4 linked regions of the Anolis sagrei genome follow. The protein of the gene in region 4 interacts with the protein of the main gene of each other region in a biochemical or structural test. Links are inferred from orthologs where the notes say so. Each region holds a gene or a part of one and is shown on either strand. Other genes may lie near its edges.

Evidence for each region.
Region 1: the proteins of LRRK2 (region 4) and ankyrin repeat and SAM domain-containing protein 4B interact on a protein array, tested with the Homo sapiens proteins (2 studies listed by BioGRID and IntAct, with this or other methods). The link is inferred for Anolis sagrei from reciprocal best matches to the Homo sapiens genes LRRK2 and ANKS4B.
Region 2: of the proteins of LRRK2 (region 4) and dual specificity mitogen-activated protein kinase kinase 3-like, one has a biochemical effect on the other in vitro, tested with the Homo sapiens proteins (2 studies listed by BioGRID). The link is inferred for Anolis sagrei from reciprocal best matches to the Homo sapiens genes LRRK2 and MAP2K3.
Region 3: the proteins of LRRK2 (region 4) and NEK1 interact on a protein array, tested with the Homo sapiens proteins (2 studies listed by BioGRID and IntAct, with this or other methods). The link is inferred for Anolis sagrei from reciprocal best matches to the Homo sapiens genes LRRK2 and NEK1.

What each region holds. Positions count from the first base shown.
Region 1 is NC_090034.1:16,409,735-16,416,657, reverse strand, and holds the start of ankyrin repeat and SAM domain-containing protein 4B, read left to right. Parts: upstream 1-3,921; 5' UTR 3,922-3,962; coding exon 3,963-4,126; intron 4,127-6,923. UniProt on the Homo sapiens protein: As part of the intermicrovillar adhesion complex/IMAC plays a role in epithelial brush border differentiation, controlling microvilli organization and length. Plays a role in assembly of the complex.
Region 2 is NC_090035.1:3,668,066-3,675,360, forward strand, and holds the start of dual specificity mitogen-activated protein kinase kinase 3-like, read left to right. Parts: upstream 1-4,291; 5' UTR 4,292-4,403; coding exon 4,404-4,419; intron 4,420-7,295. UniProt on the Homo sapiens protein: Dual specificity kinase. Is activated by cytokines and environmental stress in vivo. Catalyzes the concomitant phosphorylation of a threonine and a tyrosine residue in the MAP kinase p38.
Region 3 is NC_090025.1:58,804,893-58,811,988, forward strand, and holds the start of NEK1 (serine/threonine-protein kinase Nek1), read right to left. Parts: upstream 3,007-7,096; 5' UTR 2,818-3,006; intron 1,009-2,817; 5' UTR 978-1,008; coding exon 861-977; intron 761-860; coding exon 664-760; intron 1-663. UniProt on the Homo sapiens protein: Phosphorylates serines and threonines, but also appears to possess tyrosine kinase activity. Involved in DNA damage checkpoint control and for proper DNA damage repair.
Region 4 is NC_090025.1:82,026,517-82,033,769, reverse strand, and holds the start of LRRK2 (leucine-rich repeat serine/threonine-protein kinase 2), read right to left. Parts: upstream 3,026-7,253; 5' UTR 2,862-3,025; coding exon 2,690-2,861; intron 1,645-2,689; coding exon 1,559-1,644; intron 1-1,558. UniProt on the Homo sapiens protein: Serine/threonine-protein kinase which phosphorylates a broad range of proteins involved in multiple processes such as neuronal plasticity, innate immunity, autophagy, and vesicle trafficking.

The sequences.
Region 1 (6,923 bases), on a different chromosome or scaffold from region 4:
ATACCTCTAGACCATGGCCATATAGCCCGAAAAAACCTACAACAACTCAGTTTGGACAGCGATATTTTCAGAAAACGTAATTGTCTAGGCAACCGCAATCCGGACCTGCCAGCCAGTGAGTCATCATTTGGATGATCCAAAGCACTCATTAGCCAAACATCCTCAAATCTCTCCATTAAAAAAAAGGTTTGGCTACAAATCTAGAGGGGCAAATCAGTGAAACACAGTGTGATTTGCGTCTGCAGAAACCAATTTATGTATTGAGTTGTCAGGCCTGGAGCCAACAAAATTCAGAAAGATCAAGTGCCATTTCAAACCTTTGTCCATTTATCCTAATGAATCGCCTTTTTCGCCTTCCCTTTTGAGAATGGAGTGATTCGCACCTTGGAACATCTTTTCAGGGAAGACAAGAGAGAAAGGAAGGATGCATTCTAGGCAAGCCGCCCTGCTTCTGGTTCAACGCTTTCGAAAGAAGGGACAAAAAGGCTCCCATTCAAGCAGCATTCCTCTCCCTCTGCTTGATCAGAAGGGCTAATAAAATACTGAAAGGGGATCTGGGGTGAGCTTTTCTCAACCAATTGACAGAAACAACCATTAAACTAATTAAGCTTTTCCCTTCCTCCTTGTATTTGCTTTTTTGAATTTGTTCCTTCTGTTAGTGACTCTGTCAATTGAGTGGTGACACAGGATACAGACCAAAAAAAATCCTTTTTTTATTTTCATGGCTCAAAATGATATCCTTAGTTTAGTGTGATTTGAGCCTCAGGCTTTAATTTCGGGAGATCTTGTGCCTTCCCAAACATTATGTAAAATGTCTCAGACAGTCATTTAAGTCAGGGCATTTGAGGTTTTCGTGTCTAATTAAACAATCCAATTAGTCTCTGAATAATTTTATATTTAGCTGTGAAACAAGTAAACAGGTTGAATGACTTGGTTTGAAGAGCAGAGCCAGGATGCTTGCTTCTTAATTACAGCTCCCAGAAACCCCCAGCTAGCAAGACCAATGTTCAGCAGTGGAACTCTCTGCCCCGGAATGTGGTGGAGGCTCCTTCTTTGGAAGCTTTTGAACAGAGGCTGTGTGGCCATCTGTCGGGGGTGCTTTGAATGCAGTTTTCCTGCTTCTTGGCCAAATGGGGTTGGATTGGATGGCCAATGAGGTCTCTTCCAACTCTATGATTCTATGATTCATGCAGACTGGGAAAATGGGTTTTCCAGATTTGCCAAAAAGGGAACGAGAGGCGTTGAACTGATGATGCATACTTTGTCAAATATGACATAGACCAGTGGTTCACAACCTGTGGGTCCCCAGATGGGATTTCTGCGAGTTGTAAGCCAAAATACCTGGAGACCCAAAGGTTGAGAATCAGTGCCATAGATCATCATGATGATTTATTCATCATGTCAGAAGCGAATTGAGAATACAGTTATAATGAATAAAAAACCAGAAGCTGGCCATGTCAAGTGGCTGTGCTGTGCTGTAAGAAGGTCCTTATTGTGCATGTGGCAGGACACAGGTTGCATTGTAGTATGTGATCTGTGGTTTGCTCTTCTCCACACTCGCATGTCATGGACTCCACTTTGTAACCCCATTTCTGAAGGTTGGCTCTACATCTCATGGCCCGCGAGCACAGTCTGTTCAGCACCTTCCATGTTGCCCAGTCTTCTGTGTGCTCAGGAGGGAGTCTCGCATTTAGTATCAGCCACAGATTGCGGTTCTGGGTTTTTAGCCTGCCACTTTTGGACTCTTGCTTGCTGAGGTGTGCTTGCGAGCATCTCTGGAGATCTTAGAAAATAATTTCTTGATTTAAGGTGTTGGCTTGCTGGCTGATATCCAAACAAAGGATGGGCCAGAGATGTCAATGCCTTGGTCTTTTCATTACAGACTGCTACTTCCTGACAGATATCAGGTGGTGCAATACTGGCTAAACAGTATAATTTTTCCAGTGGTGTAGGGCTTAGACATCCTGTGATAATGTGGCATGTCTCATTAAGAGCCACATCCACTTCTTTTAACATGGTGATATGTATTACACACTTGGTATGCGTATTCTGCAGCAGAGTAGCAAAGCGCAAGGGCAGATGTCTTCAATGTTTATGGTTGTGATCCCCAGGTTGTGCCAGTCAGCTTCCGTATGACATTATTTCTAGCACCCACTTTTTGTTTGATAGTGAAGCAGTGCTTTTTGTAAGTATGTGACTTGCAGTATAATGATGATGATGGTGGTGGTGGTGGTGGTGGTGGTGGTGGTGAAGAACTTATTACTCGCCTCTCCTTGAAGTTTGAAGCGTAATACTACATGATTCATACAGAGGGATTAAACACAAAACTATTAAAATGTCTGTCTATTTTCCTGTCTGTCTGTCTGTCTGTCTGTCTATCTATCTATCTATGTATGTATGTATATGTGCGTTTGTATGTATCTTTCAAGATGGTCCCCACTTCCAGAGACCATTACAACTCCCACCAACTACGAATCTGGACCGAACTTGGCAAACCCACCCATCCCGCAATGACCAAAATAAAATACTGGAGGCTGGGGAGGTTGGGGGCTGGGGAGGAGATGTACCCTGGACGATGGGGATTGCAGTTCACCCTGAAGGAACTTCCAGAGAGCACCGTGAACCCCATCTATGATAGATCTGGACCAAACATATCCATCATGACCAACTTTAAATATTGACAGGGTTTAGTGGGTGGCAATAGCAAAGAATGATGGGAGTTATAGTTCACACACAATCAAAGAGCATTCAGATCATAACCCATGATGGACTTGGATTAAATGTGACACACATACCCATCATGACCAGCTTTAAGTACTATCAGGGTTTGGGGAGCAATGACAGAGGATTTGGGGAGTTATAGTTCACCCATATGTGAAGAGCACTGTGAACCCCACTGATGATGAACGTGGACTAAGCTTGGCATATGTACCCATCCTGACCAATTTAAAATGCTGGTGCGGTTTGGGGGGTATTGACCTAGCATGATGGGAAATGTAGTTAACCCATATCTTTTGCATTTTCCTATGGGTGAGATAGTAGAGATGACTATAAACAAACTATATTATTTATGCATACTGAATACATGAACAAATAAAAGCGAGTTGAAGGTTTTTAAGCAGAGTCTGAATGGCTCTGTTGGGGGTGCTTTGATTGTGCTTTTCCTCCCTGGCAGATAAGGGCTGGACTGGATGGCCCTTGGGATCTCTTCCAACTCTATGAGTTGATTTATTTATTTGTTGTGTCAGGGCAACCAGTCAATTGTATTACATTTCTAACAGAACAAAACAAACAAACAGACAGACAAAATACAAAATTTGCGAGTTTGGTAGTTGATTAAATGTCCTTTGACCAGTATCTGGCCACTTGGAGTGCCTCTGGTGTTGCCGCAAGAAGGTCCTCCATTGTGCATGTGGCAGGGCTCAGGGTTCATTGCAGTAGGTGGTCAGTGGTTTGCTCTTCTCCACACTCGCATGTCGTGGATTCCACTTTGTGGCCCCATTTCTGAAGGTTGGCTCTGCATCTCGTGGTGCCAGAGCGCAGTCTGTTCAGCGCCTTGCAAGTCGCCCAGTTTTCTGTGTGCCCAGGGGGAGTCTCTCATTTGGTATCAGCCATTGGTTGAGGTTCTGGGTTTGAGCCTGCCACTTTTGGACTCTTGCTTGCTGAGGTGTTCCAGCGAGTGTCTCTGTAGATCTTAGAAAACAATTTCTAGATTTAAGTCATTGACGTGCTGGCTGATATGAGTCGATGACATAGTAGCATACATTAAAGCTGAGACAATATATTGCTTTCCTGCAGAGCGTAAGCCATAGCTGGGAGTGACCTTTGCTTCTTCGTTTGTGTTTTGTTGGAGCTGATGACTTCGTCAGGGATTATTAATTAACCATCCCTCTGATGAGAAGCAGTGTAGTGTGTGTCGCATTGCACAGTGTGAAAGGAATCAGCCTGGAAAGGGGAACACAATGTCCACCCGGTACCACCATGCAGCTGCCGATGGCAACCTGGAATTGCTGAAGGAAGCCACCAGAAAAGATCTGAACACTTCCGATATGGATGGGATGACTCCAACTCTGCTGGTGGCCTATCATGGCAATCTGGACGCTCTGGAAATCATTTGCCGAAGAGGGTAAGTACCGTCAGCCTATGGACAGATCACAACATATTGTGACTGCAAATGTAGGGTGTCCTTAGCTTATAATTTAGGGAGAATAAATTTGATATACCCTCAAAAATGTATAGCCCCTTAAAACAATTAAAGATTTCATTAGTAGAGAAGTGTCACAAAATTGCAGTAGGTACTTGAAATGATTAGTGTGTGTATTGTCCAAGGCTTTCATGGCTGGAATCACTGGATTGTTGTAGGTTTTTGGGCTATATGGCTATGTTCTAGAAGCATTCTCTCCTGACGTTTCGCCTGCATATATGGCAAGCATCCTCAGATTAGTGCATGATTGTACACCAGACATGGGCAAACTTTGGCCCTCCAGGTGTTTTGGGTTTCAACTCCCACAATTCTGGACAGTCTCGGGCCCTTTCCTTTTCTTTTTCCCTTTCCTTTTCTGCTTAAGTGGCTGAGGGGGGAAAGGAAGGGGGCTGAGGCTGTTAGGAATTATGGGAGATGAAGTCCATAACACCTGGAAGGACCAAGTTTGCCCATGCCTGGTGTACAATCATGCACTAATCTGAGGATGCTTGCCTTAGATGCAGGCGAAACGTCAGGAGAGAATGCTTCTAGAACATGGCCATATAGCCTGAAAAACCTACATTTCTGATGCCAATCAATCTGTGTCAAAGTTGATCCAGGAAAGAGAGCCAAGGGCAGTCCACACCCAAAACATGGCTGGAAGAAGGAAATAGACAACATATTGCTTTGTACTTAATAGGAGTTCTGTGTAGCTTTGATGATGATGTTGATGATGATATATTGAATTTCTTACCCATTTCTCAAGGTTTGAGGTGATTGATAACAATAATAACCATAATAATAATAATAATAATAATAATCAAAGTATGGATTGTCAATGTTGCAGTCCCAGGTGACAGCAGGATTGAAGATAAACAACTGGAAAAGCTGACATGATACAAGGATTTAAAGATGGAACTGCAAAGACTCTGGCAAAGCCAGTCAAGGTGGTCCCAGTGGTGATTGGCACACTGGGTACAGTGCCTAAAGACCTTGGCCTGCACTTAAACACAATTGGCGCTGACAAAATTACCATCTGCCAGCTGCAGAAGGCCACCTTACTGGGATCTGCGCGCATTATTCGCCAATACATCACACAGTCCTAGACACTTGGGAAGTGTTAGACGTGTGATCCAATACAACAGCTAGCAGGGTGTCTGCTGTGGACTCATCTTGTTGTGTTTCTAATAATAATAATAATAATAATAATAATAATAATAATAATACACTTTATTTATATCCTGCCTTTTTCTACATACTGAACAGCAACATACAACACAAAGATAAAGGGCTTCCCATTTTTCTATCTCTGGTGTCTGGAGGCAATGCTCAACTCCAGCCATGGGAAGGTGCTATTGTACCATTTTTCCATGCCAAGGAGCCTGTTGTCCATGGACATCTCCGATTGTGTTACTGGCATATCTGCAATGTGAATGAGGCACCATTTTACCTTCCCGCCGAGGCGGTACCAATTGATTACTCGCATTACATGCTTTTGAACTGCTAGGTTGGCAGGAGCTAGGGCTGACAGTTGAGAGCTCACCCTGACTCACAGCTTTGAACTACCAACTTTCCAGTCGACAGCTTTCCTGCAGCTAACGGTTCAACCTGCTGTGCTACTGTGGCCTCATAAAAACAGAAAACCATTAAAAACACATATATTAAAAGATGTAGACATAAGAGTAAGACGGATTAAAACTCATTCAATAACATGCCAGTTTAAAACGAAAGCGTCTAGATTAGAACTTGGGACTCAGAAAACCATTCCTTTTAGATCAGCCATTTACAGACGTATGATACTAATTGACATAAAACATACACAAGCTAATTTGTATGTATAGAGAACTTTAAAAATAATTAGAATAATTCAGATAGAGTGTGCCCAAGTCTCAGGTCCTCCTCTTTACTTCTCAGATGGGAAGAATCTCAGGGCAAGAGCACAGCCTTGAAAAAATGTGTATGTCTGCATGTGTATTTTCTCACTCTCTATTTTTTTCCTGTGGTATTTTATCCATTTCCGATATAATATCTCTTAAAATAAGACTCCACTATAGGACACGTGAAGGGCCGTGGTGGTGCAACGGGTTGAACCACTAAGCTGCCAAACTTGCCAAAAGTTCAAATCTGTGGGACAGGGTGAGCTCCTGTTGCTAGCCCCAGCTTCTGCCAACCTAGCAGTTCGAAAACATGCAAATATGAGTAGATCAATAGGTTCTGCTTTGTCGTGAAGGTAACAGCACTCCCATGCAATTATGTTGGAGGTGTCTATGGACAAAGCTGGCTCTTTGGCTGAGAAATGGAGATGAGCACCACCTCCCTGAGTCAGACTCAACTAGACTTAATGTCAAAGGAAACCTTTACTCTAGTACATGTGGCTATACAATACTAATAATCTAATAATATCCACTGGGGTTTAGTTCCAGAACTCCCCATGGAAACCAAAATCCATAAATACCAAAGTCCTATTATATACAATCGCATAATAAAATAGTGTCCTTGAGATAAAATGGCAAAATCAAACTTTGCTTCTTGAATTTTTAAAAATATATATTTTCAAACCCAGAGTGGCAATATCCCTGGATGCTAATCCATACGTACAAAGGGCTGACTGAATGTAAATAAATAAAATTAAATGTCCTGCTTTCACAATAAAATTTCTAGTTTTAATCACTTTTCATTTGTTATTTTCTATCACTGGCCTTTGGGCAATACTAAAAGTAATATGGTGAAAACCATTTGG
Region 2 (7,295 bases), on a different chromosome or scaffold from region 4:
ATACAGTGTCTCTGAAGTTCCAGTTGCCTTGACCTAGACAAACATTGACCTAGACAAATGTCACTCTGAGTCACCTTCGGGCTGATATGGGCGGGGTAGAAATTGAGTAAACAAATAAATAAATAAATAAATTCATCTCCCACGTTTCTCTCCGTCTGTACTTCTGGCAGGTTCTCATGAGAACGGATATCTGTTGCTTGGCAGAATGGGGTTGGACTGGATGGCCCATGAGGTCTCTTCCAACTCTATGATTCTATTATTTCCCCCAGGCAGGAAGCAGCCAGGCTTTGAAGCTACGAGGCTATTAAATGCTAATAAAGGAGGCCAATTGCAACATTTCCACTGGCCTCCAGCAGACAAGAGTTCTTTCCTCCACCTTGGACATCATTCCACAGCTATATGAACCTCACTTGCCTAGTTACCAACAGACTTCACAACCTCTGAGGATGCCTGTCACAGATGTGGGCGAAATGTCAGGAGAGAATGCTTCTGGAACATGGCCAGGCAGTCTGGAAAACTCACAACAACCCAGTGATTCCGGCTATGGAAGCCTTTGACAACACATACCTATCCTGCCAAACATAGCTTCGCATCCTTTGGCACACCGTGGGTAGATCAGGATTTTTTCATTCCCGATTTCAGGGCAAATCGCATTGTATAAACAGTACAGCCAAGGCGTGTCAAGGGCACCACAAATTCCCCCCTACACACGGGCAGGAACCTTTGCGAAATCACATTCCATCGGCAGAGCAAGGCATGTGCCATCGGAGGAGGAACTCGTCGGTTTTGCCCACAAGGACCAGAGCTAAGCATGGCATTCCAATCCTAGGTGAAGCACTCCAGGTTTTGGATCACAACTCCCATCACAGTCACTTCTCTGGAAATCTGAACCATGCCATGATTTAGAAGCTTACGAGAAGCTCAGCCTGTCATTGAACATCGGGAAAACCAAAGTGCTCTTCCAGCAGTCACCGGCAAATCCCTCTCCAATGACAGAAATACAGCTTAATGGTGTAACATTAGACAATGTTGACCATTTCCGCTCCCTTGGCAGCCACCTCTCCACCAAAATCAACATCGACACCGAAATACAACACCATCTGAGCTCTGCGAGTGCAGCATTCTTGCAAATGAAGCAGAGAGTGTTTGAGGACCGGGACATCAGTAGGGAGACCAAGGAGCTTGTTTACAAAGCTATTGTCCTCCCAACCCTGCTATATGCCTGCGAGACGTGGACTGTCTACAGACATCAACATTGAGACTGAAATACAACACCGCCTAAGCTCTGCAAGTGCAGCATTCTTGCGAATGAAGCAGAGAGTGTTTGAGGACCGGGACATCCGTAGGGATACCAAGAAGCTTGTTTACAAAGCTATTGTCCTCCCAACCCTGCTATATGCCTGTGAGATGTGGACTGTCTACAGACGTCAACATTGAGACTGAAATACAACACCGCCTGAGCTCTGCGAATGCAGCATCCTTCTGAATGAAGCAGAGAGTGTTTGAGGACTGGGACATCCGTAGGGAGACCAAGGTGATTGTTTACAAAGCTATTGTCCTCCCAACCCTGCTAAATGCCTGCGAAATGTGGACTGTCTACAGACGTCACATGCAACTCCTGGTACGATTCCATCAGCGCTTGCCTCCAAAAAACTCCTGCAAGTGCAGTATTTTTCCAAATGAAGCAGAGAGTGTTTGAGGACCAGGACATCCGTAGGGATACCAAGGGGTTTGTTTATAGAGCTATTGTCCTCCCAACCCTGCTATACGCCTGCGAGACGTGGACTGCCTACAGAGGTCACATGCAACTCCTGGAATGATTCCATCAGCGCTTGCCTCCAAAAAACTCCTGTAAGTGCAGCATTCTTCTGAATGAAGCAGAGAGTGTTTGAGGACTGGGACATCCGTAGGGAGACCAAGGTGATTGTTTGAAAGCTGTTGTCCTTCCAACCCTGCTATATGCCTGCGAAACGTGGACTGTCCACAGATGTCACATGCAACTCCTGGAATGATTCCATCAGCATTGCCTCCAAAAAACTCCTGCAAGTGCAGAATTTTTCCGAATGAAGCAGAGAGTGTTTGAGGACCAGGACATCCGTAGGGAGACCAAAGTGATTGTTTACAAAGCTATTGTCCTCCCAACCCTGCTATATGCCTGCGAAACGTGGACTGTCTACAGACGTCAACACCGCCTGAGCTCTGCAAGTGCAGCATTCTTCTGAATGAAGCAGAGAGTGTTTGAGGACCGGGATATCCGTAGGGAGACCAAGGTGATTGTTTACAAAGCTATTGTCCTCCCAACCCTGCTATACGCTTGCGAGACGTGGAGTGTCTATAGACGTCACATGCAACTCCTGGTACGATTCCATCAGCATTGCCCCCAAAAAACTCCTGCAAGTGCAGCATTTTTCTGAATGAAGCAGATAGTGTTTGAGGACCGGGACATCCGTAGGGAGACCAAGGGGCTTGTTTATAAAGCTATTGTCCTCCCAACCCTGCTATATGCCTGCGAAACGTGGACTGTCTATAGACGTCACATGCAACTCCTAATACGATTCCATCAGTGCTTGCCTCCAAAAAACTCCTGCAAGTGCAGCATTTTTCTGAATGAAGCAGAGAGTGTTTGAGGACCGGGACATCCGTAGGGAGACCAAGGAGCTTGTTTACAAAGCTATTGTCCTCCCAACTCTGCTATACGCTTGCGAAACGTGGACTGTCTACAGATGTCACATGCAACTCCTGGAACCATTCCATCAGCGCTGCCTCCGGAAAATCCTGCAAAAAGGGAAGGAAGGAAGGAAGGAAGGAAGGAAGGAAGGAGGAAGAGAGAGAAAAGAAGAAGAGAAATAAAAACAAAGGAAGAATGGAGAGAAGAAGGAAAGAAAGAAAGAAAGAAAAAGAATGAAAAAATTGAATGAAAAAAAGAAAGAGAAAAAAAGGAAGACAAAAAGAGAAAAAACTAACAAAGGAAGAATGGAAAGAAAGAAAGAAAAAGAGTATCAGAAAGAAAGAGAGAGAGAGAGAGAGAAAAGGAAGAAAGGAAAGAAAGAGAAGGAGAAAAAAGAAAAGAAAACAGAAAAAGGGAGAAGGAAGAAAAGGAAAGAAAAAGAAGAAAGGAAGGAAAGAAAGAGAATTAGAAAAATGTAAGGAAAAAAAGAAAGAAAGAAAGGAAGGAAGAAAAGAAACAAAGAAAGAGAAAGAGAAAAAGGAAGGAATAAGGAAGGAAAAAGAAAAAAGGAAGGAAAGAAAGAAAGAAAAAGAGAAAAAAATGAAGAAAGGAAGGAAAGAAAAAGAACAGAAAAAGAAAAAGGAAGGAAGGAAAGAAAAAAGAACAGAAATTAAGAAAGAAAAAAGAAAGAAGGAAGGAAGGAAGGAAGTACGAAAAGAAAGAAAGAAAGAAGAAAGAGAAAAAAGGAAGGAAGGAAAGAAAAAGGAAGGAACGAAAGAGAATGAGAAAAAAGGAAGGAAGGAAGAAAACGAAGAAAGAAAGAGAGAGAAAAAAGGAAAGAAAGAAAGAAAAAGAAGAAGGAAGGAAGAAATAAAGAAAGAGAGAGATAAAAGATAGGAAGAAAAGGAAGAAAGAAACAAACAAAGAAAGACAAAGAGAAAAAGGAAGGAAGGAAAGAAAAAGAAAAAAGGAAGAAGAGAAAGTGAATGAAAAAAAAGGAAGGAAGGAAGGAAAGAGAGAAACAAAGAAAGAGAAAGAAAAAAGGAAGGAAGGAAGAAAAGAAAGAAAGAAAGAAAGAGAAAGAGAAAAAAAGAAAGCAAGAAAAAAGAAAGAAAGAAAAAGAAAAAGGAAGAAAAGAAAGAAAGATAAAAAGGAAGGAAGAAAAGAAAGAAGCAAAGAAAGAAAGAGAAAAGGGAAAGAAAGAAAAAAGAAAGAAAAAGAAAAAGGAAGGAAAGAAAGAGAAAAAAGGAAGGAAGAAAAGAAAGAAAGAAAGAAAGAAAGAAAGAGAAAGAGAAAAAGGAGGGAAGGAAGAAAGAAAGAGAAAGAAAAACGAAGGTAGGAAAGGGAGAAAGAAAGAAAAAGAAGGAAGCAAGGAAAGAAAGAAAGAAACAAACACCAGGTAGGCAGGAAGGGGGCGTGCCTCCAGGTGCGACTCCACCCCTCTGGTCACGTGGGCGATGGTCCCATGGCACCTCCTTCCAGGTAGCCCAGGATTCCAGACAGGCCACGCCCATTGGGGGGCCTGGCAGCCAATGGGAGCGCGGTGCGGCCAGGTGGGCGGGGTCCAGGTGTGTGCTGGGGCTTCCACCCTGCCAGTGCCCAGGTGAGGCTGGTGGAGTGAGAGAGCCTTTCTTCCTTCCTTCCCTCTTGTTTTCTTATTGGGATCTAACTGGATCTAAGGCGGATCAGGACCTGCGAGTGGACGGCTCCCAGCCAAGGGAGAACGCTCCCAGACATGTCCCTCCCGAAAGGTAAGAAGGGCCAGGTAACTTCCAGGGAAGGGGATGGTGGGATTGGCAGTCTCCCCAGCCTTTAGAAGAAGGCTGTGGTGTTTTTAAGCCTATATTTTGCTTGTATTTAGAATCATAAGAGATGGAAGGGAACCCTAAAGGTCATCTAGGCCAACTCCCTTCTCCTAGGTAGGAGAAGCACCATCAAAGCCTTCCAGACAGATGACCATCCAGCCCTTGCTAGATAATAATAATAATAATAATAATAATAATAACTATAATTATAATTATTATATCCTAACGTTGGAAGAGACCCCCTAAAGGTCATCTAATCCAACTCCTCTCTGCCTTCCTGCAGGAAAAGAACCACCAAAGCCGTCCCAACAGATGGCCATCTGGCCCCAGCTTTATTATTGTTGTTGTTGTTGTTGTTATTATTATTATTATTATTATTATGTGTTATGGAATCATAAGAGTTGGAATGGACTCCTAAAGGTCATCTTGTCCAACTCAGAAAAGAACCACCAAAGCTGTCCCGACAGATGGCCATCTGGCCCCAGCTTTATTATTATTATTGTTGTTGTTGTTGTTGTTGTTATTATTATTATTATTATTATTATTATTATTATTATTATTATGTGTTATGGAATCATAAGAGTTGGAAGGGGCCCCTAAAGGTCATCTAGTCCAACTCGCCTCGGCTAAGTAGGAGAAGCACCATCAAAGCCCTCCCAGCAGATAGACATCCAGCCCCTGCCAGATAATAATAATAACAACAACAACTATTATTATTATTATTATTATTATTATTATTATTATTATAGTATCCTAGGGTTGGAAGAGGCCCCTAAAGGCCATCTAGTCCAACCCTTTGCCCGGCAGGAGAAGCACCATCAAAGCCCTCCCAACAGATGGCCATCCAGCCTCTGCCAGATAACAACAACAACAACAACTATTATTATTATTATTATTATTATTATTATTATTATTATTATTATTGTATCCTAGGGTTGGAAGAGGCCCCTAAAGGTCATCTAGTCCAACTCTTTGCCAGGCAGGAGAAGCACAATTAAAACCCTCCCAACAGATGACCATCCAGCCACAGCTAGACAATTGTTGTTATTATTATTATCATTATTATTACTATAGTATCCTAGAGTTGGAAGAGGTCCCTAAAAGCCATCCAACCCTTTGCCAAGTAGGAAAAGCACTACCAAAGCCCTCCCTACAGATGGTCATCCAACCCCTGCTAGATAATAATAATAATAATAATAATAATAATAGAAGGTTCCTAGAGTTGGAAAAGACCCCTAAAGGTCATCTAGTCCAACTCTTTGCCAGGCAGGAGAAGCACCATTAAAACCCTCCCGACAGATGACCATCCAGCCCCAGCTCGATAATTGTTGTTATTATTATTATTATTATTATTATTGTATCCTAGGGTTGGAAGAGGTCCCTAAAGGCCATCTAGTCCAACCCTTTGCCAAGTAGGAAAAGCACTACCAAAGCCCTCCCGACAGATGGTCATCCAACCCCTGCTAGATACTACTACTACTAATAATAATAATAACTATTATTATAGAATCCTAGAGTTGAAGAGACCCCTAAGGACCATCTCTCTTCTAACTCAAGGATATAATAATAATAATAATAATAATAATAATAATAATAATAATAACTATTATTATAGAATCCTAGAGTTGGAAGAGACCCTAAGGACCATCTAGTCCAACTTCCTTCTGCCTTCACGCAGGCAAAGCACAATCAAAGCCCTCCCGACAGATGGCCATCCAGCCTCCAAAGAGGAAGCCTCCACTAGACTCCACTGCTGAAAAAGCTCTCCTTATGGTTAAACAATGACATTTTGTAGAACAAGTTTGACTTCCGTGTTGTGATCTTAATTATGGATTTGCACCATAACAAAAGGCGGTCCTTGCCGGCACGGCTGGCTTCAAGCCAAGGTGGGAGTGGATTGCAACTCCCATTATCCACAAAAGCTTCCAGGTTGACACGATTGTTAGAAAAAGCCTGCCAGATCCAGGCGCGGCTTCCTCTTCCACTTCCTCTCTTCGGTTTCGGTACCTGTTCTTCCCAAATATTGCCTTACGTTGCACCAAGGCTGCAAAACATTCTTTTGTCGTTGTTGTTAGGAGATGATGCATGCACCAAATGTTTGCTTCGTGCATACTTTCTTAGTAACATGCTCTGGTATGATCAAAAGCCCAACATGTGATGGATATGCCGAGTGACTGATGGCAATATAGTATATGGTTCATGGTTAGGAATGGTGGGAGTTGAAGTCCAAAACACCTGGAGGGGCCAAGCTTGCCCATACCTGTGATAGAGTCTGGGATATTTGCAAAGTTTTGCAAAGTTTGGCAAAGTTTTGCAAAGTTTTGCACGCCTTCTCTGCAAGAGAGAGGGATGGTGCCTCAGCAGACTACAACTCCCAAGGATTCATCCTATTGAGCCTCACTGTGGGACATAATTGTGCTCTTTTTTTCTGTTTTGCAAGCTGCAGAAAGGCAGTTGTGCGTCATAGACGTCAGGCTCTCTCGGCCACCTTTCTCGGGGCGTGTGGCGGTTGTGTCATGCTTTGTGTTTGTGATTGCTTACTCACCTTCACGGTAGAAACTTGCGTGGCGTTGACTGCTTTCCAAAGCATTTCCACCTCCTGAATCTTTCAAGAAGCAATTTATTTACTTCCAAGGGGTTGCAACTCCCAGAATCCTTTGAGCCCGGAGCTTTGCAAAGTGTTCATGTTGGGGACGTGCTTTTTAAACATGCCAAAAGCGGGAATTCGGTTTTACTAGCAAAGCATGGGCAAACTACAGCTCTCCAGGTGTTTTGGAAATACAACTCCCACAAAGTTTGCCCGTGCCTGAGTTAAACCAACA
Region 3 (7,096 bases), about 23 Mb from region 4:
CAACATTCACACTTGCCTCAAGCAGACAAGAGTTCTTTCTCCCACCCAGGACATTCCACAGATATATAAACCTCCCTCGTATAGTTTCAAATATACCTCACAACCTCTGAGGATGCCTGCCATAGATGTGGGCCAAACATCAGGAGAGAATGCTTCTGGAACATGACCATACAGCCCGGAAAACTCACGGCAACCCAATATCAACTTCTTATTTTGCAGGTATTAAATTATAAAACCCGAATAGGAAACTTGCAGCTAGATTCCAACCTTTACTATATTTCTACTCAATCATATAGAGAATCATGGTAAATAAAACAAGAATATTGTCTAGAAGCTTATAATAGTCTCAGTATATAACAGTGTTCTTTAGTTAGTTCAGATAACATTGTGCTTAGAGACACCTATCTCTGGAGTATGCAGTTATGAAATCAGCTTGTAACACATAACCAGAAGAACATCTGCACTACCATTTGCATAGTTGGAAAAGTCAACGGAATTTAGCTGGCATGCTGCTTATCTTTATAAATGATACATGGATTGCCAATGAAAGACTATAACCAAAAGTATAAAACAAAGCCTACCAATTCATCCCCTTTGATCTGGTTTCATGTTTTCACACTTCAACATATCGTTTTGACATCACATGTTATTTTAAAGCCTAACCTTCAAAGGATTCTCTGTACAAGACAATATTTGGATGTTTCATGTTGGCCAACACGGCAACTTCCCTTCTAGATTCTTCTCTTTCTTTATTTGACATCTTTAAAAAAATGAGAATGAGTAAGAAAAAAGGTATGGATTATGGAAGATAAATTTGAAAAGTTAATATAATAAAAGGAAACTGAATTAGAGAAACTCACCTTAGATATATTGATCTCTTTAATAACATACTGTTTGCCATTTTCTTTTGATTTGACTAGAATTGCTTTTCCAAAAGACCCTTCACCAATCTTTTGCACCTTACTATATTTGTCCATGGTCTTTTTCTAAGGCATCCTTATGCATGAGCTAGGGAGAAAAAATATACTTTTAAACAAATAATAATATTATTAATAATACTTTATTTATATCCTGCCCCCTCTCGCCAAGGAGACTCAGAGCGACTTATAATAAGAAAGAACAATATAAATAGTAGTAATCAAACAAACAAAACTAGTAAGGTGTGCTTACAGTGTCTACATCATGTTCAAATAGAGATTGGGCATCTCTTATCCAGAATTGCAAAATATATCCCTGTATGCCAGGGGATTGATTTAGATTATATTTTACTGTACTATTATACTGCAATATATATAATACGAGTGCAGTATTTTTCCAAATGAAGCACAGATTGTTTGAGGACCGGGACATCCGTAAGGACATCCGTAGGGATACCAAGGTGCTTGTTTATAAAGCTATTCTCCTCCAAACCCTGCTATACGCCTGAAGACGCCACATGCAACTCTTAGAACGATTCCATCAGTGTTGCCTCCTAAAAATCCTGTATATCTCTTAGGAAGACAAGTAGACAAATGTCAGCGTGCTGGAAGAAGCAAAGACCACCAGCATCGAAGCGACGGTCCTCCGCCATCAACTCTGCTGGAACAGCCACGTTGTCCGGATACCCAAGCACCGTCTCGCAAAGCAGTTGCTCTACTCCGAACTCAAGAATGGAAAATGGAATGTTGGAGGACAGGAAAAGAGATTTAAAGATGGGCTCAAAACAAACCTTAAAAACTCTGGCATAGACACTGAGAACTGGGAAGCCCTGGCACTTGAGCACTCTAGCTGGAGGTCAGCTGTGACCAGCAGTGCTGTAGAATTTGAAGAGGCATGAATGGAGGGCGAAAGAGAGAAATGTGCCAAGAGGATGGCGCGTCAAGTCAACCCTGACCGGGACTGCCTTCCACCTAGAAACGGATGCCCTCACTGTGGGAGGACATGCAGATCAAGAATAGGGCTCCACAGTCACCTACGGACCCACAGCCAGTACACTGATCTTGGAAGACAATCCTACTCGGACAATGAGGGATCGCCTAAGTAAGTAAAGTACCAGTACATTATAAGATTGGTATTACAATACAAAACACCTCTAGCCCCAAGGATACTCAACCTGCACATGCCAACATCTAATTTAACCATTTTAATTCACCTAATTAAAAAGATAATTAAACTCTTCTAATTCTCACTCTATGGTGGAATGCGACTTTTAATCCAGCTGTTAACTGGTTTCTAAGGGTACTGCTATGGCTCACTATAGGATTGTGGGGGTTGTAGTTTTGCAAGATCTTCCCTGCCAAAGAGTGCTGGTGTCAAACTACAACTCTGAGACACATCTATATATAAGGCATGGGCAAATTTTGGCCCTTAAGTTGTTTTGGACTTCAACTCCCACAATTCCTAGCAGCCTCAGGCCCCTTCTTTTTCCCCCTCAGCCGCTTAGCTGAGGGGGAAAAACAAGGGGCCTGAGGCTGCTAGGAATTGTGGGAGTTGAAGTCCAAAACAACTTAAGGGCCAAAATTTGCCCATGCCTGATCTATACTGTCTGACACTTCAACTGTCATGGCTCAATGTTATGGAATCCTGACATTTGTAGTTCATTGAGAAAAATAGCCTCCTTTGTCGGAGAACCTTGTAAATCTACAACTCCCAGGACTCCATAGCAGTGAGCCAGGGAAGTAAAAGTGGGGGGCAGAATGGTTCTTCCCCTCAGAAACCAACTCCAGTCACCTGACTGACTCTCTCCTCGCCTTTCCCCTCAAATCCCCCACTGCGGCCTTGGCCTGGGCACACCCATCCCCTGCAGCAGTGGTCGAGGCTGGAAGCGAGGCCACTTACGAGGCAAGAACCGCAGGAGGGGCCACCGACCCCGGGAAGCGAGGAGAGGGAGCCAGGGCCGCTGGGAAGGCGAGACCCCTTCCTCCCTCCTTCCTCCCCTCCGACAAATAACAACCCAGGCGCCCTTAACCCAATCTCCCACCCCGTTGGGTGAGTCCAGCAGCTCTAACGGAGCCGGAGCCTTAGTCCCGCCCCCGTCGCGTTGCTTATAGGACAACTGGCCCTGAACGCCCTTCGCCATTGGTCGAAACGAGTGAGTTCGAGTGCGCCACTAAGGTAGGGAGCGCCGTAGAAGATGCTTACGGATTCTCCCTGGCAACGCGTGAGCACCAGGTCACGTGATCGAAAGGGGCGGGAAGAAGAGAAACTGGGATGCAGCTATGGCGGGAGAAAGGGAGGAGCGTGTGGAAGGCTAGGAAAGCTGCTGTCAGGCGATATTGGCGCTTATATAGGAGTATCCGTCCCCTGTCACGTGTTACTGTGGCCCAGTCTGTGTATCTGTGTTTTGTGTGTGTATATATGTGTGTTTATCTTGACACGACAAATAAATTATATCTTCTATATAAATAAAAATGTAATGTTCGTTTGTGGGATTAACAGAACTCAAAAACCACTGGGGGAATTGACACCAAATTTGGACACAAGACACCTAACAACCCAATGTATGTCCTTCACTCAAAAAAAATTGATTTTGTCATTTGGGAGTTGTAGTTGCTGGGATTTATAGTTCACCTACAATCAAAGAGCATTCTGAACCCCACCAACGATGGAATTGAACCAAACGGCACATGAACATTACATTTTTATTTATATAGATTGGCTTGGGGCCCCTTCCAAACAGTTGAATAAAGTCCCACAATTTCTGCTTTGAACTGGAATATAGGGCAGTATGGACTCTTGGGCCTTCCATACTCCAGCGCAGGCCCGTAGCCAGGATTTCATTTCGGGGGGGGGGGGGGGGGGCTGAGTCTGAGTGAAAGAGGGTCTACCCTAGCAAACCTTTTGTATTGTTACCCCAATACCCTCATGCATATGGGATGTATTGAGCATGGTGATCAGATCATGATATGAATAAATATAACAGTTTAAATAATGCACCAGTAAGGCCTTTTCGCGAACCACCATGAGAATTTCGGGGGGGGGGGGGGGGCTGAAGCCCCCCAAGCCTCCCCCCCCCCCCGGCTACATGCCTGCTCCAGCGGGAAGGTAACAGTGCTTCATGCAGTCATGCTGGCCACATGACCTTGGAGGCATCTATGGACAACACTGGCTCTTCAGCTTAGAAATGGAGATGAGCACCAACCCCCAGAATTGGACGTAACTAGGCTTCATGTCAGCGGGAAAACTTTACCTTTACTTATCAAGGCAGAAAAATCCCACAATATCTGCCAACATAGCAGTTCGAAAATATGCATATGTGAGTACATCAATAGATACTGCTCCAGCAGGAAGGTATCAGCACGCCATGCAGTCATGCTGGCCACATGACCTTGGAGGCGTCTATGGACAACGCTGGCTCTTCAGCTTAGAAATGGAGATGGAGCACCAACCCCCAGAGTTGGACGCAACTAGACTTAATCTCAGGGGGAAAACTTTACCTTTACTTATCAAGGCAGAAAAATCCCACAGTATCTGCTTTGAACTGGAATATATGGAAGCGTGGACTCTGGTTCCTTCCACATACCCATATAGCCCAGAATATGAAGCCCCCGGTGGTGCAGCAGGTTAAACTAATGAGCTGCTGAAGTTGCTGACCAAAAGGTTGGCAGTTCGAATCTGGGGAGTGGGGTGAACTGCTATTAGCCCCAGCTTCTGCCAACATAGCAGTTCAAAAACATGTAACTGTGAATAGATCAATAGTTACTGCTTCTGCAGGAAGAAAACGGTGCTCCATGCAGTCATGCTGGCCACATAATCTAGGAGGTGTCTATGGACAACGCTGGCTCTTTGGCTTAGAAATGGAGATGAGCACGAACCCCTCAGAGCTGGACACGACTAGACTTAATGTCAGGGGAAAACCTTTACTTTTACTCATCAAGGCAGAAAAATCCCACAGCATCTGCACTGAACTGGAATATATGGCAATGTGGACTCAGATAACCAAGTTCAAAGAAGATATTGTAGGATTATCTGCCTTGATATTCTGGGTTTTATGACTGAGTGGAAGGCCCTAATTCAACCAGCGAAGTCAGCTGGAGGAGATGAGAAAGTTGTTCACTGTCAATTTAAATCCCGCCTTTAAATTTGTTTTTTGAAAGAGGTTGCCATAATCTTGGTGTTTTTTTCCCTTTTTTATTATATATATTTAGTTTAATACATACCCAACATTTATAGTTCCCACCACCATGAGGATTGTTTTCTTTTACATATTAATCCTTTTTGAGATGAACCTTATAGATTAACATTCTATATAACATTTGTCTCCTATTTCTTTCTTCTTCTTTTTCTTAAATATTTTTTAATTAATTATTTGACACAATCTCATATATAATCAGAAAATATACATTCAGAAATACTGGAACATGTCTAGATCTGTATGTAGACAGCAACTTGTACAAAGTAGGTATAACATATTATTCCATTCACTCAAGTTTAAGACACTTTCAAAGGAAAATCCATGCAAACTATACCTAACTAGAATTGTGTCTATCTAGCTAACATCAATAGTGTCATCAGCTACTCCCACCCCCATATCATATGCAAAAAAAAATGCCAATTTTTTTTTGATTCCTTACAAGGCAAGAAATGTATCTTCATGATCTTGGTGTTTTTTTTAATGTTTAACTGCAACCCAGCTTTGGCACTTTCTTCTTTCGCCTTGATTAGAAGGCTCCTCAGCTCCTCCTCGCTTTTGGCCATCCAAGTGGTATCATCTGCATATCTAAGGTTGTTAATGTTTCTTCCAGCAATTCGTCAAGCCCTGCACATCGCATATGTTCTGCATACAAGTTGAATAGGTTGGGTGAGAGTATACAAGTCTATTGTTCTATGGCAATATATTCCAGTTCAAAGCAGAAAATGTGGGTGCTTTTTTTTTCAACGGTGTGGAAGGGGCCAGAGTCTTTCAAAAGACTCCTTCTTTGGAAGCTTTTAAACAGAGGCTGGATGGCCATCTGTCAGGGGTGATTCGAATGCAATATTCCTGCTTCTTGGCAGGGGGGTTGGACTGGATGGCCCATGAGGTCTCTTCCAACTCTGTATGATTCTATGAAAAATAGCTCCCAAATCTTGCCTGGCTTCAACAGGCTACCACGCGCATGCGCCAAGAGGACCCTATTGGAATCCCGCTCTTGAGGGCCGTAAATCTCGCCGCGGCCAGCGCGCATGCGCGGCGTGGGAAAAAAAAAGCAATCTTGACGTCTCCGAGGCGGTGGTAAAGTAAGGGCGGGGTTCCGTTGTGGGAGTGCGGCTTGGGAGCTGATTGGCTGAGCTGGCCCGAGTCCCGCCTCCTCGCGAGCCTCTCCGCCCGGTTCGGCGGCGAAAAGGAGGATGCGCGAGGGCTCTCTGGGGATCGCCAGGCGGCGGCGCTGCCACACGGCCAGGTAGGCGAGCGAGCGAGCGAGGGAGGGAAAGCAGGGAGGGAGTGAAGGAAAAGGCGCCTCCGTGGAAGGAGGCCGCCGGAAGAGTGATGGAGACAGCCTGTCAGAATGGTTGCATCTCCTGCTTCAGGTGCATTAGTCACGCGTTCGCCTTTCTCCTCAGCAGACGGAGAGAGAGAGAGAGAGGATGCATTGCGAGTTGTTGTGTTTGAGGAGAGGCTTTGCATCTCTACGTCTTCTGCTTCATTGTTTTGAACTAGAAGGCTGCTTCTCCTCCTCCTGCTTTCACTCGTCGGTATCAACACAGTCCAAACCACTTCAGCTGCCATAGCTCAATGCTGTCGTCTCCTGGGAGATACAGTTTTACAAGGGGTGCATCTTGGCTCAGTTTGACATTAGCTGCCGTGGCTCAGTGGAATCCTGGGATTTGTAGTTTTCCCAGGGCAGCAGCAGACGCTAAATGCCCTGTGAAACTACAACTCCCATGATTCCATAGCACTGTGGCCCTTTCCACACAGCTGAATAAAATCCCACATGATCTGCTTTGAACTTCATGGCCTATGGCTAGTACAATAAACAATTCATTCCAATTGCATTCAGTCAATTGCTTGGCACTAGAATATATGGCAGTGTGGATTAAGATAACGCAGTTCAAAGCAGATATTGTGGGATTTTCTGCCTTGATATTCTTGGTTATGGGCTGTGTGGAAGGGCCCAGTGTGGACTCAGATAACCCAGCT
Region 4 (7,253 bases):
AGTTCAAAGCAGATTTTATATGGCAGTGTAGATGGGTCCTTAGTGATCCATGCCAACCTTCCCATTTTTGAGAGTTAGGAAAAGTATCCTTGAAAAAGTCCATTTTTGGATAGAGAAAAGGATCCATCCCAAAAAAAAGAATTCACCAAATGTTTATCCTATTTGAGTTAGGCCCCTGTATTATTTTAAAGTGTTTTTTGCACTACAAATAAGATATGTGCAGTGTGCATAGGAATTCATTCATATCATAGAATCATAGAATCAAAGAGTTGGAAGAGACCTCATGGGCCACCCAGTCCAACCCCCTGCCAAGAAGCAGGAATATTGCATTCAAATCACCCCTGACAGATGGCCATCCAGCCTCTGTTTGAAAGCTTCCAAAGAAGGAGCCTCCACCATTCAGAGAGTTCCACTGCTGAACGGCTCTCACAGTCAGGAAGTTCTTCTTCATGTTCAGATGGAACAAATTATATATTATATTTTTTTCAAATTATAATCCGGCCCTCCAATCGTTTGAGGGAATGTGATCTGGTTTACAAAGTTTGAGGACCCCTACAATAACTAAAACAAATATAAACATATTAGTATTTCAATAGGAAGTGTGGGCCTGCTTTTGGCTGATGAAATAGGATAGTTGTTGTTGTTGTGTGCTTTCAAGTCGTTTCAGACTTAGGTTGACTCTGAGTGAGGGCCGGGTAAATGACCTTGGAGGGCCGTATGCGGCCCCTGGGCCATAGTTTGAGGCCCCCTGATCTAGACACTAGACTCCTATGAATGCAGGCCAAAATCCCTCTAGAATCATAGAATCAAAGAGTTGGAAGAGACCTCATGGGCCATCCAGTCCAACCCCCTGCCAAGAAGCAGGAATATTGCATTCAAATCACCCCTGACAGATGGCCATCCAGCCTCTGTTTAAAAGCTTCCAAAGAAGGAGCCTCCACCACACTCCATGGCAGAGAGTTCCACTGCTGAATGGCTCTCACAGTCAGAAAGTTCTTCCATATGTTCAGATGGAATCTCCTTTCTTGTAGTTTGAAGCCATTGTTCTTGCTCCCTCCTCCCTATGACTTTCTCTCACGTATTTATACATGCCTATCATGTCTCCTCCTTCTCTTCTTCAGGCTAAACATGCCCAGCTCTTTAAGCCGCTCCTCATGGGGCTTGTTCTGCAGGCCCTTGATCATTTTAGTCACCCTCCTCTGGACACATTCTAGCTTGTCATTATCTCTCTTCAATTGTGGTGCCCAGAATTAAGACTCAATATTCCAGGTGTGTTCTAACCAAGGCAGAATAGAGAGGTAGCATGACTTCCCTGGATCTAGACACTAGACTCCTATGGATGCAGGCCAAAATCCCTCTGATCCTGCAAAGGGAAAGCATCCTTCAGAATCCAAGTAGGGAAGGATGAGGCTGGATCTACCCTACCATATGACCCAGAATCTGATCCAATTTGGAATTGGATTATATGAGTCTACACTGCCAGATAATCTAGAATCAGATCCTGGGATATAGAGCAGTTCCAGGCGAGAAGCAGCCAAAGGGAGAGACTAATATTTACCTGTTGCACACTGGCCACTTTCATGTAGGAGACCAAAACCAGGAGCAAAGGCACGTGGATGTTTTTGCCACGGAATAACCTGCCACCTGGGTGAAAGAAGAGAAGGGGGGAAAGATCAGGAAAGAGGAATCCCTTGTCAGCTTTCCCTAGAGCAGTGGTTCTCAACCGTCCTAATGTCGTGACCCCTTAATGCAATTCCTGATGTTGTGGTGACCCCCAACCATCACATTATTTTCTTTGCTACTTCGTAACTGTCATTTTGCTACTGCTTTGAATTGTAATGTATATATCTGATATGCAGGATGTATTTTCATACCCGATACATCCAAATTTGAATACTGGTGGGGTTGGAGGAATTGATTTTGTCATTTGGGAGTTGTAGTTTCTGGGATTGATAGTTCACCTACAATCAAAGAGCATTCCGAACTCCACCAATGATGGAATTGAACCAAACTTAGCACACAGAACTCCCATGATCAACAGATAATACTGGAAGGCCTTGGAGGGCCCTTGACCTTGAGTTTAGGAGTTGTAGTTCACCTATATCCAGAGAGCACTGTGGCTTTTAAAAAATGATGGATCTGGAGCAAACTTGGCACAAATACTCAATTTACCCAAATGTGAACACTGGTGTAATTTGGAGAAAATAGACCTTGACATTTGGGAGTTGTAGTTGCTGGGAATTATAGTTTACCTACAATCAAAGAATATTCTGAACTCCACCAACAATGGAATTGAGCCAATCTTGGCACACAGAACTTCTATGACCAACAGAAAATACTGGAAGGGTTTGGTGTGCATCAACCTTGATTATGGGAGTCGTAGTTCACCTACACCCAGAGAGCACTGTGGACCCAAACAATGATGGATCTGGACCAAACTTGGCATGAATACTCAATAGGCCTAAATGGTGGAGTTTGGGGAAAATAGACCTTGACATTTGGGAGTTGTAGTTGCTACAATTTATAGTTCATCTACAATCAAAGGAAATTCTAAACCCCATCAACAACAGATTTGGGCCAGAGTCCCATAAGGAACCCTCATGACCAACAGAAAATACTGTGTCCTCAGGGGTCCCGACCCCCAGGTTGAGAAACACTGCTCTAGAGGGAAGAGAAGCCCCCTTTTTACCGCTTGGCAGGGAGGCGAGGGAGAGAAGGTCCTGCAGGATCTGCACCAGGGTCTCGATCTGCTTCCCTTCCTGGACGTTCTTCAGGCGGACGATGAGTTTCCTTAAGGCGGCTTCTCGCCTCTCCTCGTCCTTCTCCTCTTCCTCGCAGGCTGGCACCCCCTCAGTGGCCATGGCTGCCTTCCCACTAAGGGCCAAGATGCCCAGGAGTCGCCTCCCGCCAGTAAACAAATCTTTTGAGTCAGCAGAGGAAGCGGCGGGTTGTTTGGAAGTCGCCTCTCCCCCCGCTTGGCTTGACTTTCCTTTCCAAGCTTGGTGGGTGCAATGCGCGCCGCGGCCAGAGGTGGCGCTAGAGGGAGACGAAATCCCCGCGGGGGCTTTGACGCGCAGCTCCCTTTGCCAATCCCGCACAAGCCCCTCTTTTGCAACTTCCTCCCTTACTAAAGTAACCCCCTTCTCGTCCAATATGGGAATATTACACCACTTGCTCCTTCCAGGGAAGGAAGTCTGTATAGGAGGAAGGGGTGGGGAAGGAAAGTCCGCATTTGTGGCTCAAATCAGGGCTTTCCGTTCCCTCTTGGAAAAGGGGCAGCCCAAGGTTTCAGTTTCATGGTCACGAGTTTGAAAGCAAAAGGCAAAAACAAAACAGATTGGAAGATGAAGAAGTCCCTTAAGTAGTGGGAGGTGGACACTGTCTTTTGCAACACAGGGCCCTTCTATATCCCAGGATTTGATCCCAAGTTTATCCCGGATTATCTGGCAGTGTGGACTCATATAATCCGGTTTAAAACAGAAAACCTGGGATATAGGGCCTGTCTAAAAGGTCCCTTCTACACGACCGTATAAAATCCAGATTATCTGCTTTGAAATTGATTAAATAGTGTAGACCATATTATCCAGTCCAATGTGGATTATCTGCTTTGATAATCTAGATCAGGGATCCTCAAACTTTTTAAGCAGAGGGCCAGGTCACAGTCCCTCAAACTGTTGGAGGGCCGGATTATAATGTATTGTCGAAGGCTTTCATGGCCGGAATCACTGGGTTGTTGTAGGTTTTTCGGGCTATATGGCAATGTTCTAGAGGCATTTTCTCCTGACGTTTCGCCTACATCTATGGCAAGCATCCTCAGAGGTAGTGAGGTCTGTTGGAACTAGGAAAATGGGTTTATATATCTGTGGAATGACCAGGGTGGGACAAAGAACTCTTGTCTGCTGGAGCTAAGTGTGAATGTTTCAACTGACTACCTTGATTAGCATTTAATGGCTTGAAAGTGCCTGGGGGGAATCTTTTGTTGAGAGGTGATTAGATGTCCCAGACTGTTTCCCTTCTGTTGTTTTGCTTTTTCCTAGTTCCAACAGACCTCATTACCTCTGAGGATGCTTGCCATTCATGCAGGCAAAACGTCAGGAGAAAATGCCTCTAGAACATGGCCATATAGCCCGGAAAAACCTACAACAACCCAGTGATTCCGGCCATGAAAGCCTTTAACAATATGATGAAGAAGTCCCTAAAGTAGAGGGAGGTGGACACTGTCTTTTGCAACACAGGACCCTTCTATATCCCAGGATTTGATCCCAAGTTTATCCCGGATTATCTGGCAGTGCAGACTCATATAATCCGGTTTAAAGCAGAAAACCTGGGATATAGGGCCTATCTAGAAGGCCCCTCCTACACAAACATATAAAATCCAGATTATCTGCTTTGAACTGGATAAAATAGTGTAGGCTCATATTATCTGACCAACAGGTCGCAGGTTTGAATCCGGGGAGAGCGCGAATGAGCTCCCTCTATCAGCTCCAGCTCCTCATGCAGGGACATGAGAGAAGTCTCCCACAAGGATGGTAAAACATCAAATCATCCGGGCGTCCCCTGGGCAATGTCCTTGCAGACGGCCAATTCTCTCACACCAGAAGCAACTTGCAGTTTCTCAAGTTGCTCCTGACACGCCAAAAGAAAATTTATCTGAACAATAGGAAGAACTAGATTTAGTAAACAGAGTCCCAGAAGAACTATGGACAGAAGTCCGCGACATTGTTCAGGAGGCGGCAACAAAGTACATTCCAAAGAAAAAGAAAACCAAGAAGGCAAAATGGTTGTCTGCTGAGACACTGGAAGTAGCCCAAGAAAGGAGGAAAGCAAAAGGAAACAGTGAAAAGGGGAGATATGCCCAGTTAAATGCGCAATTCCAGAGGTTAGCCAGAAGAGATAAGGAACTATTTTTAAATAAGCAATGCGTGGAAGTGGAAGACAACAGAATAGGAAGGACAAGAGACCTCTTCCAGAAAATTAGAAACATTGGAGGTAAATTTCAGGCAAAAATTGGTATGATAAGAAACAAAGATGGCAGGGACCTAACAGAAGCTGAAGAGATCAAGAGAAGGTGGCGAGACTATACAGAAGATCTGTATAGGAAGGATAACAATATCGAGGATAGCTTTGACGGTGTGGTGAATGAATTAGAACCAGACATCCTGAGGAGTGAGGTTGAATGGGCCTTAAGAAGCATTGCTAACAACAAGGCAGCAGGAGACGACGGGATCCCAGCTGAACTGTTTAAAATCTTAAAAGATGATGCTGTCAAGGTGATGCATGCCATTTGCCAGCAAATGTGGAAAACACAAGAATGGCCATCAGACTGGAAAAAATCAACTTATATCCCCATACCAAAAAAGGGAAATGCGAAAGACTGCTCAAACTTCCGTACAGTGGCCCTTATTTCTCATGCCAGTAAGGTAATGCTCAAGATCCTGCAAGGAAGACTCCAGCAATACATGGAGCGAGAGTTGCCAGATGTTCAAGCTGGGTTTAGAAAAGGCAGAGGAACGAGAGACCAGATTGCCAATATCCGCTGGATAATGGAGAAAGGCAGGGAGTTTCAGAAAAACATCTACTTCTGCTTCATTGACTATTCTAAAGCCTTTGACTGTGTGGATCATAATAAATTGTGGCAAGTTCTTGGTGGGATGGGCATCCCAAGCCACCTTGTCTCTCTCCTGAGGAATCTGTACAAGGACCAAGTAGCAACAGTCAGAACTGACCACGGAACAACAGACTAGTTCAAGATTGGGAAAGGCGTACGGCAAGGCTGCATACTCTCACCCAACCTTTTTAACTTGTATGCAGAACACATCATGCGATGTGCGGGGCTGGATGAATGCAAAGCTGGGGTGAAAATTGCTGGAAGAAACATTAACAACCTCAGATATGCAGATGACACCACTCTGATGGCCGAAAGCGAGGAGGAGCCGAGGAGCCTTCTAATCAAGGTGAAAGAAGAAAGCGCAAAAGCCGGGTTGCAGCTAAACGTCAAAAAAACCAAGATTATGGCAACAAGAATGATTGACAACTGGAAAATAGAGGGAGAAACCGTGGAGGCCGTGACAGACTTTGTATTTCTAGGTGCAAAGATTACTGCAGATGCAGACTGTGGCCAGGAAATCAGAAGACGCTTACTTCTTGGGAGGAGAGCAATGTCCAGTCTCGATAAAATAGTGAAGAGTAGAGACATCAGACTGGCAACAAAGATCCGCCTAGTCAAAGCCATGGTATTCCCTGTAGTCACCTACGGATGTGAGAGCTGGACCTTAGGGAAGGCTGAGCGAAGGAAGATCGATGCTTTTGAGCTGTGGTGTTGGAGGAAAGTGCTGAGAGTGCCTTGGACTGCGAGAAGATCCAACCAGTCCATCCTCCAGGAAATAAAGCCCGACTGCTCACTGGAGGGAAAGATACTAGAGACAAAGTTGAAGTACTTTGGCCACATCATGAGGAGACAGGAAAGCCTAGAGAAGACAATTATGCTGGGGAAAGTGGAAGGCAAAAGGAAGAGGGGCCGACCAAGGGCAAGATGGATGGATGGCATCCTTGAAGCGACAGGACTGACCTTGAGGGAGCTGGGGGTGGTAACGGCCGACAGGGAGCTCTGGCGTAGGCTGGTCCATGAGGTCACGAAGAGTCGGAGACGACTGAACGAATGAACAACAACAGGAAGAACTTCCTGACTGTGAGAGCTGTTCAGCAGTGGAGCTCTCAGCCCTGGAGTGTGGTGGAGGCTCCTTCTTTGGAGGCTTTTAAACAGAAGATGGATGGCCATCTGTCGGGGGTGCTTTGAATGCAATTACAAGGGGATTCCATCTGAACATTAGGAGGAACTTCCTAACTGTGAGAGCTGTTCAGCAGTGGAACTCTCTGCCCTGGAGTGTGGTAGAGGCTCCTTCTTTGGAGGCTTTTAAACAGAAGATGGATGGCCATCTGTCGGGGGTGCTTTGAATGCAATTACAAGAAAGGAGATTCCATCTGAACATTAGGAAGAACTTCCTGACTGTGACGGCCGTTCAGCAGTGGAAATCTCTGCCCCGGAGTGTGGTGGAGGCTCCTTCTTTGGAGGCTTTTAAACAGAGCCTGGATGGCCACCTGTCAGGGGTGCTTTGAATTTGATTTTCCTGCTTCTTGCCAGGGGGTTGGACTGGATGGCCCAGGAGGTCTCTTCCAACTCTATGATTCTATCGAGTTCAAATCAGATGTAAATGATCTGCTCTGATAATCTGGATCATATAGCAGTGTAGAAA